2 linked regions of the Struthio camelus genome follow. The protein of the gene in region 2 purifies or fractionates together with the protein of the main gene of each other region. This does not show direct contact. Links are inferred from orthologs where the notes say so. Each region holds a gene or a part of one and is shown on either strand. Other genes may lie near its edges.

What was found. The genes of interacting proteins can lie anywhere in the genome.
Region 1: the proteins of VDAC2 (region 2) and PHB1 purify together in Homo sapiens (affinity purification with mass spectrometry; 4 studies listed by BioGRID, with this or other methods). This does not show direct contact. The link is inferred for Struthio camelus from reciprocal best matches to the Homo sapiens genes VDAC2 and PHB1.

What each region holds. Positions count from the first base shown.
Region 1 is NC_090966.1:5,144,078-5,152,257, reverse strand, and holds the start of PHB1 (prohibitin 1), read right to left. Parts: upstream 3,125-8,180; 5' UTR 3,038-3,124; exon of another isoform or gene 2,979-3,037; intron 2,579-2,978; 5' UTR 2,541-2,578; coding exon 2,453-2,540; intron 2,056-2,452; coding exon 1,894-2,055; intron 1,133-1,893; coding exon 990-1,132; intron 496-989; coding exon 379-495; intron 1-378.
Region 2 is NC_090948.1:26,043,520-26,051,326, forward strand, and holds the start of VDAC2 (voltage-dependent anion-selective channel protein 2), read left to right. Parts: upstream 1-4,677; 5' UTR 4,678-4,770; intron 4,771-5,116; exon of another isoform or gene 5,117-5,316; intron 5,317-5,380; exon of another isoform or gene 5,381-5,478; intron 5,479-5,821; 5' UTR 5,822-5,842; coding exon 5,843-5,876; intron 5,877-7,807. UniProt on the Homo sapiens protein: Non-selective voltage-gated ion channel that mediates the transport of anions and cations through the mitochondrion outer membrane and plasma membrane.

The DNA of each region.
Region 1 (8,180 bases), on a different chromosome or scaffold from region 2:
TCGCTGGAGCGCCTACTTTCCCCCTGTGTCTCAGAGCACTTGTGGAACAACAGGCTGCTCTCAAGCAATTTGCAGACTGATCCATCATCCACAGAAAGCATTTGCTCCCTATTTTAACTACAGAAACCTACAATAGTGAGGTCAGCAAGAAGACAGTACAGCTGAGCCTTCAAGGGCTTTCTCAAGGTCACAGAAGGCCAGTGACAAAACCTGACATACTGACTTGAGCTGTAACCACTAAATTACATGCAACTCCAGACAAATAAGCATTTCACCTACGTCTAAAATTCTGTCCCCCTTTGGCCATCCACTGGTTCTGTTCTCCGCTACTCTTATCTGCAAGAAGAGAGAGAAAACCTGAAAAGGGAGAACTCTTACCAGGGACACATCATCTAGAATGAGGCCGAAGGTCGCTGCTCTCTCCGTGAGGTCTTCACTCACTTGCCTTGAGACCAGCTCTCTCTGAGTGATCAATTCTCCAGCATCAAAGCGAGCCTGATATTAGGATGGACAAAAATGAGAACAAAGCTTCCAGAAACAATAGATTTTTCATATTCTGTTTGTCTTTGCACCTGTAAGCCCCAGAGTTAATCCAATTTATCTTCCAAAGCTAGCAAACACTAAGCTACCTGTTCACTAGAACTAGGAGAAAGAATGAATGATTGCAAATTTAAGTGTGAGCTGGAGGGGAGGTTTCCCCCAAAGGGAGAAGCTAACAGCTGAGAACGGGTAACAGAGAAACCTCTTGCTGTCCAGACTACACCCAACTTGAGCCTTAAGTCAAGGCAAGCCGTCAGAACGGCAAAGAAACAAACAGCATAACTACAATTATCAGCTTTTCTGGATAACCCTTTGGAGCCTGGAGAGTGGAAAGAGAAGCTTTAGTCTGGAGTATTAGATATTCCACATGCTAGCAGGTATCTCACTGCAAAAAAAACAAGGACAGAAAGGTGACAGGCAGAGCCCAGCAGCTGTCGTGCTGTCCTTACCACAACAGACTTCAGGATTTCAGTTGTGATTGAAGGCAGGACACGCTCATCATAGTCTTCTCCAATACTTGTGAAAATTCGGGGTAACTGGGCGGTCACTGGTCTAAACAAGATACGCAACGTGATGTTCACGTTCTGTAGATCTGGGGGCAGAGCGGGGGGGGGGGGGGAGGGAGAGAGAGAAGCACAAGTTTAGTGGCAAACTGTGGGGACAAGAGATGTCCTGAAGTTGGCCTTTCCAGGGTAACTAAATGGGAAAGACCACACCCTCAGGCTTCTCTTTGCCGGCAGAGACAAGTTATTTTTACTGTCCCTTTCACCTAGGGATCTAGATCCTTCTTAAAAAGATAAGACTGAAGTTTCAGTTTGCTTCTGATGCAGGGAATTATTTGCCCTCCTGCAGAGGCAGAGATTTTGCATTTAAACGGACAACCTACTAAAACCCTGCAACAAGAAGTTGCTTAATCTGTTCTGTAACTAAAAAGACAGATCAATGACTCTGTGCCAGACTGGACTCAGCACACATAGGACCACCATGTCCAGAAGACAGAACCCTTACTCAGTGATTTTCTGTAAGGTTAAAAGATCACAGAAGTCACGACCATAGTAAAACTTCTTCTCGTGCCCCATCCACCCAACTGCTAACTACAAAGAAATCCAAAAGCAACATCAGAATAAGACACAGGATATAACGAGAGCGCTTGGATCACAGTCTTGCACGATATTCAGATGCACTGCTCTCTCCTCAGGGCTGATAAGCTGCTGAGCATCTTCTCTCTGCCACCTGAGGCAGAGGGAAAGAACACCTCTGAGGCAAAGAACTCAATGTCACGCAGGTCGCTACAGTGGGCACACACTCAGAGTGACACTACTCTGTTACAGTCGCCTGGTCGAGAACACTTACCTTTGCTGCCAGTGATCACGGGAATGTTACGTGGGCGAGATCGACAGTCAAAAATGATCGGTTTCTGTACCCAAGGGATGAGGAAGTGGGTACCTTCTCCTACCACCGTATCCTGGACTCCACGGAATCGGTCAAAGATAACAGCTCTGTGGCCCGCATCAACTAGAATGAAACAGCATGGTTTCACTGTTGTACTTGCACACCATCAGAACATTCTCCATGACAGATATCAACAGTCTGTCAGGATTAATTAAGGCCTTTTGCTGCAGGAGAGTGGTGAAATTAAGTAGATTGCTAGTAGCAACAAAGCAAAAGAGACAACTCAGCCACGACTCGACCTCTCGGCCTGCTTTCAAGGAGAGCATCTCATTGACAGTTTCTAGTGAAGGGACTCCGCAATCCTCTTGCCTACCCAATGCAGAAGGTCAGTATAAACCAGCACAGCAGAGTCTCATGCCTATTTTCCCCTGATGCCACTAATAATAAAGGCACAGAGCAATAAAGACATGGATAAAAAGGATATAAAATGAACGGGAAACACTCTCCCTCTCCCACTCACCATTGTAAAGAGCAGAGTTGACAACTCCACCTGCGACAGCTAACCCCAGGCCAAACTTCCCGATGCTTTCAAACAACTTCGCGGCCATTTCTCACGTCCAGTTCTAGCCCCTTTAGCGAGTCCCTCCTGCAAAAACCCCACAAGCTTGTTAAAAGTGCATGAAGCGAGGAGCCCAGGCAACTCTGTGTCTGCACCTACAGAGCCGAGGATTAACTCCCCCCTCCAAAAAAATCCAACCTGCACCCCCGACCCGACCCCCCCCCCTCCGGGCCTCCCTGCACCCCCAGCCCCCTTACCTCCCGGATCCCTCCCCCCCAGCCCCCCTGCACCCTCCCTGGATCCCTCCCCACAGAGCTTCCCCCACCCCCTCCAGGCCTTCCGCCCCCGGGACAGGCGCCCCTTGGGCCGAGGCCCCCTCACACACCCGCAGGCCGCCGCTCGGCCCCTTCGCACGCCCCACCGCGCCCGCGCCCCGGCCCCGGCCCCGGCCCCGGCCCCGGCCCCGGCCCCGGCCCCGGCGACCCACCGCGCCCGGCCCGGCCCCGGCCCGGCCCAGCCCGCTCTCCCTCCCGCAGCGCCCCTGACCTCCACATGAAGCCGCGGCCACCTGACCCGCCGCGCCTGCGCGTCGCGCCAAGACGTCCGCTTCTCATTGGCCCGCTCCGGACCTCGGCATTCTGGGAAGTGTAGTTTTCGCCGCCCCCGCTCCCGGGAGGCCGTGCGGGAAGGCCTACAACTCCCGGCGAGCCCCGCTCCGCCTCGCTGGCTGTGTAAAGCCGCTCTCCATTGGCCCCGGCGCTCCCGCCGTGCGCAAGGCGTTCTGGGAGCTGTAGTCCTGGCCGGGGTAGAGGGGGCGCACGTCGGGGCTGGCGCATGGGGGAACCGGGGTGGGGGGGAAGGGGGATCCCGGCATCCCGCCACCGGCTCAGGCAGCCCCAGGGCAGCTGCCGCCCCCCGGCTCGGCTGCGCCCCCCCCCCCACCCCGGCCCTTTGTGGGCAGACCCCTGCCATACGCTCAGTCCGCTGGAGCGGGAGAGGCCGGGCAGCCGCCAGCGTCCAGCCCGGGCTCCCCACGGACGGGGCGGGGGTGCCGGAGCGGGGGGACAGAGGCGCCTTGCGGCCGAGGCGGGAGCCGGGGGCCGCTAGAGGGAAGCAGCGCTCTGCCATCGGCTCCGCCAACCGGGCTGAGGGGGGGGGAAAAAGAGAGGGGACCCCCCCCACCCCCCCCCCGCTTCCCAGGCAGACCCCAAAACAGCCGCCTTCCCCCGCCTGGAAACCCCCGGCCGGTTTCGCCTTTAACGCGACGCCGCTGAGCACGGGGGACTTCGTTACCCCCGGCGGGCGCCGGCGGGCACGGCCGCACCCGGGAGAGAAAACCGCTGCTTAAACCCCGCTTTCTCCCCGACGCCCTGCGGGAGCGGCGGGTCACCCCGGGGTGGCGGGGGGCGGACGGGACGTGAGGATGGCCCCGGCGCTGCGACGGCCGCTTTCCGCCGACGGACGGGGCCCGGCTTTGCCCGGCACGGCCGCGGCAGCGAGCTCGCAAACCCGGCCGGCACGGCTCTTTTGTGCCTCGACAGCCCTGGGAAGCGGAAAGCCAGGAGGAAGAGGAAGAGGCGAAGGTGTCTGGGGACCCGGCAATTTTGGACCCCATCCAAAATGATTTGGGAGCCAGATCCCGGCACCCCTCTTCCCTAGGTGCCGTAAGGCTGAATTTTGGCTGCTCCTAACCCGCTCTTGGCTGCATGCCTCCCTCGAGGAATAAATCCCGGGAGCATCCGCCTCTGCCTGCGCCACGGGAACAACGTCCGCCGGGGCCGGGGCCGGCTCGGGTGCCTCTTCCGCCGGCGCGTCCCCGAAGGACGAAGCTGCCCCAGGAGGCGTCTCTCCGCTTGCAGCTAATCCCGTAACAACATCCTAATTGGTGATAAAGCCACGGCTATAAACACCCAGGGATTTACACCCTTCCCGCGTAAGATTCGCACACGGGGCACGGTCGCTACGGCAGGGCTGCGCGGACGCGGCGGCCGGAGGTCTGCAGCCCTCCCGGCTCAGCCCCTCTTCCGCACCGCGCGGCCGCCGGCGCGGGCCCGTTCGTTGCCGCCGTTTGTGCAGCTTCGGCCCCTGTCCCGCGCCGCGGGAAACTGTCTCGGCCCCTCTCCCGCGCCGACGCGCAGCGCCCGCCGCTCTCCTCCCACCGCCGCTGGGGCGGGAGCCGGTGACACCCGCCAGGGAGAGGGTTTTGGGAGCCCTTGTGCTTTCTGCGCTGCCCGGGCCGGGGCGGTGGGAGAAAAAAGGGCCTTTTGTGCAGGGAATATCCCGAGGGTGATTCAGCCAGGCCTGACGCTGGCGGGGCCCGCTGACACATCGCTTTGTGGCCGGGCAGGGGGGGCCGCGGCTCGTCCCCGGGCGCCGACACCGTCCCCGGCTCCAGGCAGGGGACGCAGCCGGCGGGGAGGGGGGGGGTCGCCCCGCCGGGGTGGCAGGGGCAGGTTGAGCGGAGGAAAATCAACCCCACGACAGCCCCGGCCGGAGCCGCAGGCTCAGGCGGAAGCGCGTTTCGAGCTGCGCCGGCTCGGCCTCGAGACGAGGAGCGAAACTAGTGTGTTTTCGCCCGAGGACGGAGGTGGGCGCCCAGTGATGGAGCAGGGCGAACGGAGCTGGAGCGGTGGGGGACGACACCTTCCTCGCCGCCGTCCCCGGAGCTCAGCCGCGTGCTTTGCCGCCCCGCGGGAGGCTGCTCCCCCAGGACCCTTGATCCTGGCTCAGAAGAAAAAGGAAATTTGGGTGGTGGGTGGTGGCGGGGGACCGTTAAGTGCCAATTCCTGCCCGGGGACGTGGAATCGCGGCGGGCCGGAGCAGTAGGGTGGCATCACCCCTTGTCGCTCCCAAACCGGGGCGCAGAAGCGACGCGCGAGCCCCACAAAAACCCTTCACGACGGCCCTTCGGCCAGCTCGAAGCTGCTTTTCCGGGAGCAGACGGTGCTGAGAAAACGAATCCCCCCCCCGGCGCTTTCCGGCCGGGAGCGACCACACGAATCCCGGGCAGGTTTTCATCTTCGCCTCGATCACAGCTTGTTTCCCCCGTCTCCTCCTGCCTCTCCAAAAGACCCCTTGAAAAAGCAGCGGCCGGCCGCGCTCCGGGCGCTCACAATGGGATTTCAGAGCGCCGGGGCCGGCCGCGTTTCGGAGCCGACATTCCTCCACGAGACAAAAACCCTCGGCGGACCCAAGCGCCGGCCTCGGCGGCAAGAAGCGGCTCTTTGTCCTGGGGCGGTGAGGCCGGGGCCGGGCAGCCGGCGCTCGCTCCGGCCGCGGCGGCCAGCGCCGCGAACAAAAAGCCTCCTTTTCTCCAGCCCTCCCAAATCCGGCGTCGCGGGGCTGGCGCTGCCCTGAGCGCACCCGGGAAAAATTTATGGCATGGCATTTGCCAACCGGGGAGAATCGGAGCGACCCCGGCGCTGCGCTTCCCGGCCGCTCCGCTATGCAGACGGGCATTGAGCTGCCGGCGCGTCCCAGCCGCCGCGCTCCCCAAAAACGGCTGTTTGACTCGGCGTCCTGCCGACGTCCAGCTCTGGCCCCATCCGTCCGACGAACCCCTTTGGCCGCTATTTTCCCGAGTGGCTTCCTGCGGCCGGGCAGCGAGAGCGGCGTAACCAGCTGCTGCGCGCGGCTGCCGCGTGAGCATCGCCGCCGAAAGGCTGGTGAGGGTCGGGCTCGACCCGCGCGGGCCGGGAACCCGCGGAGCAGAGAGCGCGTATGCGTTTTCGCTTGGCCGGAAAAGCTTCTTTCCTTCCTCGTTCAGCTTTGCAGGAATAGCGCGTTCCCGGCGCAGGCTGCCTTTCAGCATACATCTGTTCCGAAACGGGCGTCAAGCGGACGACGTGCTTTTCACAGAAATGCCGTTTTCCCCACCTAAAAACCGTGCGTGGTTTGCACAGCAAATCTGCATCTCTCGGCAGAGCGAGAGCATCCTCGCGGCCCCCCCGCAGGACCCGGGCTGGCTCCTCCGTCGCCGCACGGCCGCCGGCCGCGCCGGGAAACGGCTCCCACCTCCGCCGGCCGCTCGGGGACCGAGCCCGAACTGGCCGCGTAAACCGGTTCATCCGAACAAGCGCTGAAATCAAATTAGTTAAACTACGTTAAAGCCCTGCGAGGACACGGTGCAGAGCGCAAACGGCCTTAATGTGATTTCGGCTGGCTTCGCGGCCACAATTTGCAAGTCAGAGAAATCGAATTAAGGCCGCTTGCGTTCTCGGCTGTGTCCACACAGGGCCTTAATGCGGTTTAATTAATCTGCTTTAAAATTGCGCCTGTCTTTCATTTGGGCCAATTTACCCGGCTCGCCCTGGATAACGGAGCCCCCCCGCCGGGCCAAGAGCCATTAGCCCTGGGGCAGATTTGGGGTACGGCCCCAGGCTGGAAGGTGCTGGGGTCCGCGATGCTGAGCCCCAGCCGTGGGCTTGCTGCCACCCTGAGCGGCTCCCGTGCCCCGCGCTGGGGTCCTGTGCCCCGCACCGGGGTCCTGCACTGGGGTCCTGCACTGGGGTCCTGCGCTCCGTGCTGGGGTCCTGCACCAGGGGCCTGTGCCCCACACCGGGGTCCTGCGCCCCTCACCGGGGTCCTGCACACCATGCTGGGGTCCTGCACCAAGGTCCTGTGCCCCGTGCTGGGGTCCTGCACCCCATGCTGGGGTCCTGCATCGGGGTCCTGCGCCCCTTGTGGGGGACCTGTGCCCCGTGCTGGGGACCCACACTGAGGTCCTGCGCCCTGTGCTGGGGTCCCATGCCCTGTGCTGGGGTCCCGCACTGGGGTCCTGTGCCCCACACTGGGGTCGTGAGGCCTGTGCCAGGGTCCCGTGCCCCATGCTGGGGTCCTGCATCCCATGCCGGGGTCCTGCACCCCGCACCAGGGTCCTGCACGCCATGCCAGGGTCCTGCACCCTGCACTGGAGTCCTGCACCCACACTGGGGTCCTGCACCGGGGTCCTGCACCCCACGCCAGGGTCCTGCACACCACGCCAGGGTCCTGCACCCCACGCTGGGGTCCTGCACCGGGGTCCTGCACCCCACGCCAGGGTCCTGCACCGGGGTCCTGCGCCCCATGCCGGGGTCCCGCACCCGCCGCGATGCTCCAGGGCGACAGGGCCCCGCAGCACCTGCCTCGCGGCTGCTCTGCTCCTCGGCCTTAACGCCGCTGCCAGATCGCTATCTGCGCTTAACCGAGTTTCCTCCTCCGCGGCGGAGCGCGGCGGCTGGAGCTGGCTGCCGACCGCCCTGCGGCTCGGCTCCTGGGACGGCTCTCGGCGGCTGGGAATTGCCGGCCGGCAGCTCGGCGGAGGCTGGCGCTGGGCGAGGGAGGACCCAACCTTTGGGTGCCCCCGAGGGGCGCCCCGGATCCCCTGGACCCCTTGAACGTCCAGCCGCTTCCCCTCGGGGCAGCTTTGGGGATGGCCTTGGGGTGAGCTGAAGCCGAAACCTCAAGTTTGCAGGAGAGCTGTCAGCTTCACGTTCCTGCTTTCTGGGACTGCAGGAAACATCCGCCTGCCCCGGGGGGTTTTGGAAACCCCCCCCCCCCTTTTATTGAAGGGCAGCCTCACCGGTGCAAAGCCTGGGGCTGCTCGGACCCGCGGGCACCCAGCGGGGCGCCGGAGCAGCCGGCTCGTGCCGCGAGCTCGGGGCTCTGCTCCCCTCCTGCCTTTGCTCTCCGAAGGTCGGCTCCCGTTTCC
Region 2 (7,807 bases):
TACAAGGAACACCATCCTTTCTGTCTGCTCCCAGCTCCGAGTGATGGAGCTCTTTGTGGCTCTAATAAAACTGTTGTGTGCCTTTGTCCAGTTTCTGGTATCCTTAAACTCTTCAGTGTTGTTCTAATATTTGTCTTTATGCTTTACTTTTCTACAAGTTGCTCAGCATCTGTGTTATAAATGCTGGGTATACATTTTAAAGCAAACGTGCAACAGTGCCAGACAAGCTCTTCTACATGCCCATTCCACGTGCGGATGTGGTGTACGCAGCTTTCCAAGGAAACCATCTAGGTGGAGTCGGTTTTCCTTCACCACTTTTGCATTTGGTAACATGAGAATAGGCAAAATAAATCTGTAGATAAGTCACTTCTCATAAACTTTCCAACAGATTTGTTCTGTCAAGATAAGCCTTTTCTCCTGGATAACGAGCTGTGTTGGATTGCTCTGGCATAACTCTAGCTGCTTGCAGATTAATCGGCTTTATGTGACCTCTGTCTCTGTTGCCTGGTTCCTCATGGGATTTGCTGCCCAGTCATTAGTTTCTGGTAGCAAGAAACCCAGATACCACTCCTCATTTTTTCCCCTCTCCTTGTTTTAAACTCTGGGCCGCTCCTTCTGGTCTGGGCTTGTCAGGGATTTACAGAGATGCTATTTGCTCCCAGCTGCAGGTCTTCACCTGGCAGGGTGTTGAGTTGAAGGAATCTCTTGGGTGCAACTGTAGGTGTCCTAGTACTTAATGCAAGGCATAACATGGTAAAGATTACCCTTTATTTGTGTTAGACACCTAGTATTTTCTCATATTCTGCCACAGGCTTCAATGTTTATTGATTGGGTTTTTAGTTCATGACAATGTAAAAAAATAAATGTTTCTGTTTTACTCCAAGATATGGCTGTGTTTTTTTCCTCCTCAGGTCTATGGTGGAATTTAGAGATAATCATTATCTTGGATTAGCTTAAATTTCACTGCTTTAAACCTGCTGAAGCTCTTTCATACGTTTGCTCAAGTCATAGGAGTAGTTATGGTGTCATTTTGTTCACCTGAGTATTTTCATGCCATGAAGTATTTTCCACATCAAAGCTAGCCTGGCCTAAGTCTTTCAGAAAGAAGCCACTGCCTACTTTTCTTTCTTTATTTATTTATTTTTTTAATTACGGGCATTTTCCAGCATACAAATCAAAGCTTGATAAAAATTCATTAGCAAGTTTAGCTTTACCTGTCCAACTGCTATTACTATGTGGTAATAGGATGTGCAGTCACAAACGGTAAGAATCTTCTATGGCATACAGATGATTGAAATGGCTAAGTGTAATGGTGTATGAGAGGTATGTTCTAAATATAGGACTGAAAAGCAAAAAATCCATGCTTTGGTCCTGTCTTTGATTCCAGCTTTCTCTGGGGTATAAAACGGGGAAAAACATCTTCTGTGTGATATCAGACACAAACATTTGCAAAGCAAACAGTAGTAAGGTCAGGGGATAGAAAGCTTGATCAGAAATGAAAGGGGAAATGTTAATAACACAGCAGAAATGAGTTTACTTCAGGTGACAACTGCTGCACCAATCAGTCAAATCTATTGATCCACTTAAGTGATTTGGGAACACTGGGCATCTCTCTCTGGGTTTTTCCAATGAGTTTTACAAGAATGGTTGTTTCACTTACAAATCAGCATTTAATTATTTGAAAGCTCTTACTGGCTGCTGAGATAATGTCCTAATCCTTTTATGCAAAAAACTCCAATTGCCCCTCCCTTTCCAGGAGGTATCACCTCCACAGAATGAAGCCTATTAATTTACTCATTTTAGGATGTTAGAAAGCCTGGTGGTTTGCAGGTCTGTCAGGCAGTTGTACCTAGCTTTGTTAGAAAGCTGCTTTTTCCTTGAGCTACAGGAGGTAAAAAATCCAGAGGAAATGGAAACTGCAACAAAAAGAAGAAGAAGAAGAAGAAAGGGAGAGAATTTGCAAATAGCCAAACACAAATCCAAAAGAAGGAATAAGTACAGGCTTCTCTGCATGGGTTAGTTTTCATTTGAGTTTCTCCTTTTTCTTTAACAGAATTTTTTTCACTATTCCTCTTATTTTTTATTGGGGGATATGATAGTTTAACGCTGAGAGTATGCTAGTAGAGTGCACAGCATCGCCACAGGCCCTAACAGCAAGGGCTGGATTTTAGTTTGCTTTGGCTGTAGAGCTCTGGGCAACCAGCTTTGATGAACTATGTAGGTGCAAGGAGCTCTGTGCCTCCGTTAGTCTCCATAGGGCCTGTAAACAACTTGGTTCTTTTATTGGCTTCCCAAGCTTGCCTTCTGCTTGCCTTCTCAGCAATAAAATTGCAGGCTTAATAACATTCAATGGTGCGCCTCTGAGATGAGGAATTACCTAGGTATGAATCTGTGCAGCTTATTTAAAGGTGAGGGCTTCTGTGTGTGTTGTTTTAAGCGTATCTTAAAAGTTGGCTTCAGTTAAACTTCATCCTAATTATTTAACCTAAACTGAAGTAAGGCTACTTTAAAACTGTTGAGAGAAAAAAAATTACAAGGCATCAAGTCTGTAGTGGATGAGCCCTTCAGGTACCCTGAAAGCGTGGACCCTTCCTGGGTCCCCTCTTACGGCTTTTCACGTGCCTGGTTTATTTGAGAGTGGTTGCACCTTATGAAACAAAAAGCATAGTCAGCCCAATATCGTTGCCAATGAACGCCTAAGTAAGAGCATAAGAAGAGAGTGAGCTGAAATGACATCTCTATTTGCACCTCAGTGGTTTTTCTGACTTGGGAGGGATTGCACAGCTGTATGTAATGGCTCAGCAGATTTGTAGTTGGTAATCCTTCACGGGCTTCTCCTCCACAAACTTGTCTCGTTCCCCTGGGAGCCCGTTCAAATGTTGAACATCTTGTGGCAAGGAATGCCACAGCTTAACTCTCCATTGGTTAGGAGGACACCTGCTTTGCTGAAACTTGCTCCCTGCCAGCTTCAGCTGCTTTCCACCCTTTCCCTGCTGGTTATACTTTTACAATGCCTTTCATACTCCCTCAGCCAATTCACTTCTGAAACGAAAAGTCTCAGTTTACTTGTTCATTCGATGGCTTTCTTTAAGGTCTCTTTTTCTGCTCGGTTTCTAATGTGTGAAGGCCTCTATCTTGAGAGGAGGGCAAACAATAACTTCAGGTTTGAGTTAGAAGTGAACATGAACTTATTGAACCTGTTTAATTGGAAACTGATACAGACTCCAGTCACTTGCTCTCTTTTGGTTGGTCACATATGTTTCTTTATCAAGTAATCATGACTACACTACATAGATAAGTAGAGTTTGGAAGTTTACTACAAGAACATACACATCAGATTGTGTTTAAATGTTAAAGTGATTCAGGTTTTTTTTTTTTTTTTCCTCCAAGTGAAACCAGCAAACCGTATGATTCACTGATGTCAGTCATGCATACTCATGCCTGTATTCAAGCAAAGCAGACATAGTTAAACTACGAGTGGGAGGAAATGGCTGACTGGCTCAGACAAGTGTGATACTTGGTTCAGAGTGGAAACCAGCTCATTCAGAGCGGGCGCGCACGCATAGGACGTGTGTGCGCTGAACGTTAGGAGAAGAAAGTGGCCCAGGCCCTGAGGTGGATGCTAAGAAGAAAGATCCAGAGTAATTTTGATGGATAGCTATTGTAGGCCCGAAGACTTGGCTCTCTGCGGTTTAGAAAATGTGCTGTAGGAAATAAGGGATCGTTGTAAGCATGAAGAATGGGGAGAATGAGAGTGAAAAGGAAAGGGAGATGGAAATTGTATCTGCAGGAGCCAAGCATGTTAATATAGAGATGTTCATGCACTACTGTACAGACCATGTCTGTAGTTTGTTCTGTAAAGAAAGTGATTCATTAGTTTTCACTCAGGGTGGAGTACTTGGTGCTTTCCTGGATTGCTAAAAAATAAAGTGAAACCATGACTAAAATCTTCCTCTTAAAGGAGAGAGGAGGGAAAAAAAAAGCCAACTGAAATCTTGTGTAAGTAACTAAATCTCTATTCAGAAATGAATTTTTACACTGGGTATGAATAATAAATACATGTCTTTAAATAATGAACAACTTATGCCCACAATCCATCTTTACTTAATCGGATCTCTGTTTACTCCTAATGTATGTTCCAATGCACATTCAGATGTGCTAGTTGCCATTGTCTCCTATTGCTGTTTATCCTCTCAGCATGTGGTTTTCTTCTTAATTCATCAAGACACATTTCTCTGTGTCATGCCAAGCTCTCCTATTCAAAATTATCTGTATTAACCTGTTGGGTCTTCTGTTGTGAAAGTACTGGACTTGCACACAGGAAAAAAAGAGGGATGCTTATCTTCTGATATAGCTAACAGATACCGGCTGGCATCATGTTGGGCCTTACTGCTAAACTGTGGAGGTTTTATCTGCTGCTAGTAAGCTGGAAAGTTAACTTTGTACCATGTATTCTACTAAACCACTGGTCTTGAATATATTCTTCGTATTGTGCCGCTGTAATTTGTATTTGTAAACACATTTTTTACTACCTTTGAGGAAATGTTGATTAAGAAACCAACTACGCAGAGGTGAACTAGAAATCGTGAGGATGCCTCTACCAGGGTTTCCTGGCTGAGCAACCATTTGCCCTGGTGACTTGGTGACTTCCGCTGCGGGCTGCGTGCCGGCTGCCGCACCGCAGCCAGCGGGCCCTTCCCGCCAGCGGCTCCTCCCCACGGCGGCAGCAGCCACCGCCTGAAGAGGTTTCCCAAGGGTCCGACCTACGCGGTGGGGTGCAGGGCGGGGGCGTTCTTTTTGGGGGGGGGGCGGCTTGGGCAACCAGCGCGAACGCAAGCTGGCAGGAAAGGGGTGGCGGCCCTTGCTCGAGGGAGCGCCCCGCCGGCTGTCGCGGCCTCCGCCGACAGCAGCGGGCAACCGCCGCCCCGCCCCGCCCCCCGCCGGGCCCCGCGCCGCCGCAGGACCCCGCCCCGCCGCCGGGGCTGCCCCGCCGAGCGCCTGTCGAGCCGCGGCGCCGCCGCCCAGCTTCTCGCCCGGGTCCACGGCGTCTCCCGCAGCGCCCGGCGCCTCCCGGCTGGTGGCGGCGGCGGCGGCCGGCCGGGCGGCGGCGCGGGGTGTGGCGCGGCGGGGAGGCGGCCGGCGGGGCGGCCCCGGCTCGTTGGGGTCCTGCGCGGCGGCGGGCGGGCGCATCGGTGTCTCCTTCACTTCGCCCTCCAGTGCCAGCGGCTGCAGCAGCGCGGCCTCCTCACGGCGACGCCCGCCCGCGGCCCCGGCCCCGGCCCCGCTCCGCTCCGCCCGCCCGCCCGCCCTAGCCAGGTGCCGGCCTGGGCCGCAGGGGCGGGCGGGCGAGGGGGCGCGGGCGGCGGCGGGGCCCTGCTCGGCGCCCCTCAGTGCCGCCGCCCGGGAGGGCGGCGAGGCGGAGGCCGGGGGGTGGGGGCCGGTTCTCGGCACGTTTCCACGCGCTTCCCTCTGCCTCGGGTGGGCTCCCGCGGGCTGCGCGGCGCCGGCGGTTGCAGGAAGGGCGGCGGGAGGGCGCGCGGGCCGGGCCGGGCCGGGATGCCCAAGATGGCCGCGCCGAGGAGTTCACCTTGCGGCGCCGCGGGCGCCTCGGCCCTGGCCCTGGCGCCGGGCCGGGCGGGCGCTGGGCGCTGGGTGCTGCCGCCGGCGAGGGCGCCCGTCTCCCGCCGCGCCCGGGGGGGGCCGCCCGTTCTCCCCACGCGGTGTCCGGCGGCCCGGGGAGGCCCCGCTCTCCCCCTGCTTTCGGTTTCTGAACACCTAGTTCATCTCTGGATGTTTCGTTTTTTTCCCCCCCTCTCCGTAGATTCTCTAAATTGGCCTAGCCATGACTATTTCTCCAGCATGTCCGCCTCCGAGACGTAAGTAGGGAGACAGTTGAAGCAAGGGTAATGAGTTCTTTAAGCTTTAGTAGTACTAGAAGTTTAAAGGTCAGTGTCATGCCCTATATATATAAATATATATATATATTTTTTTTAACCAAATATATTTTTGAATCTACTTCTCCATGCTGATTGCAATATTGGAATACAATTTTAATGTAGTTATTGCCAAGAATTTTTAAAGCTGCAAGGATATTTATTTCTTTATTTTAAATATGCCCTTCAGCCTGATCTTTAATATCCTGAGGTCTTAAAGTTGTTAGAAATCTGTAGAGAAATTCTTGGAATTCGTTTAGTTACAAGATGTAGAAGAGTTTTGAAATAGTACCTCGAGGGAAAGAGGTGATGTAATAATTCTGACAACGTTTATACGCTTTTTTTTTTTGTTAGATTAATTTTTTTTCTCTAACAGAAGAAGAAATCATTCTTGGAGCTCTTGAATAACAGATGTAATTCAACATTTTTTTTAGGGTTGTGTGAAAAGAGGGATAAAGCAAAGGTCAGGATGAAGATCCCAGTTGAATTAATTACTTTCTATGTTTTTGAAATGAGGAAGAAGATTATCTGATATAGATAGTTGCTGTCACAACAAACTTCTTGTCATTGTATGTTATCTCTATTTTAAGCACTTCTAATCACCTTTTAAGTGAAAGGCAATTCAAAATAGGGTTGAAGAAAGCTATCTCTGATTGTAAGAATTTACAAACCTAGCTAACCTACCAACAGTGGAGGAAATGGGAAAAATTTTTTGCCCTTTTTTAATTTAATAGGCTTTTCTGCTGATGACGTTGGCTTATCAGATATTGTGCAAAGCCAAAATTAACTTACGGCTTGCCCTTTTGTATATTCTGTTCCTGCTAGCATAGGACTAGAACAGCAGTGTGAAAGTTGTTTTAACTCTTTTTTATCACGCATCTTGCACTTGTCTGTAGGCTGGAATGTCAGGCAAACATTTGTCAGTTTCCTTGCAATGGGAAGGATGCTTAACTAGGCCAGATAAAGCAGCACTATCCTTTTGCTCTAGTAATCCTTTCAGTTTAGACACAGATGCCAGTTTACTCACTTCCCAGGACATTGTTGCTTAGCATAAATCTCTTGTCTTTGGTGGTTTGTCTACTCAGATGGGAAACAGTGTTTAAAACGAAAGCAGAAGGCTCATTTATTTTAACTGTCAAAATACGTTTGTGCTAGAGGCTATTACAAAACTTTACAACTAGAAATAGTTTTTCTTCTAGAGATGGTAGTTAAAGGAAAGACCCACTTACTAGAGAAAAATACATAGCTAAACTTTTTCTAAATTACCTAAACTACTAATGAATTATTCAGCTGCTGTATAGCAGAAATGTAGAGTGAGGAAATAGCAGTGTCCCACACTTCCTTGGAATTTGGTCTGAATAACACCTGCTTTTTTATTGCATAAGTAATAGGAAGCGTTTTCTGACTTGTTGCTGAGATTGATAATTGTTCTGCCATAGAATCTTCTCTTCCTGAGGCTTATGTAATTTATTGTAATGTAATAAACTTTGACTTGGGCTACACCATTTTAACCTTTAAGCGCTTTACCTTTTTTTTCAGAGTGGGGCAGGTTTACTTTAACTCCATGCAAAAGCAAACTTGTTTTGTAATCTCCAGCAAGAGCTAGATGTCTTGCTATGGTGACCTGGTTGTAGAGCTTAGAGTGCCTTACTAAAGAATGGTTATTTTTTTAAAGCTAAACTGTAAATGCATAGGTGTAAATGTGTAGGCTAAGCTGGGCTTGGATGGGCCTCTTATGTTTTAGGAAGGTGAGGTGAGGTCCTCTGGAAAACTACAGTAGAAATGTAAAAGATAATGTTAAGACACAAAGTTCCAGAAATTTTTTTTTTAATAGTAGCAGTTCATAAGAGTTAGGTATGTATGACAGGTATAAT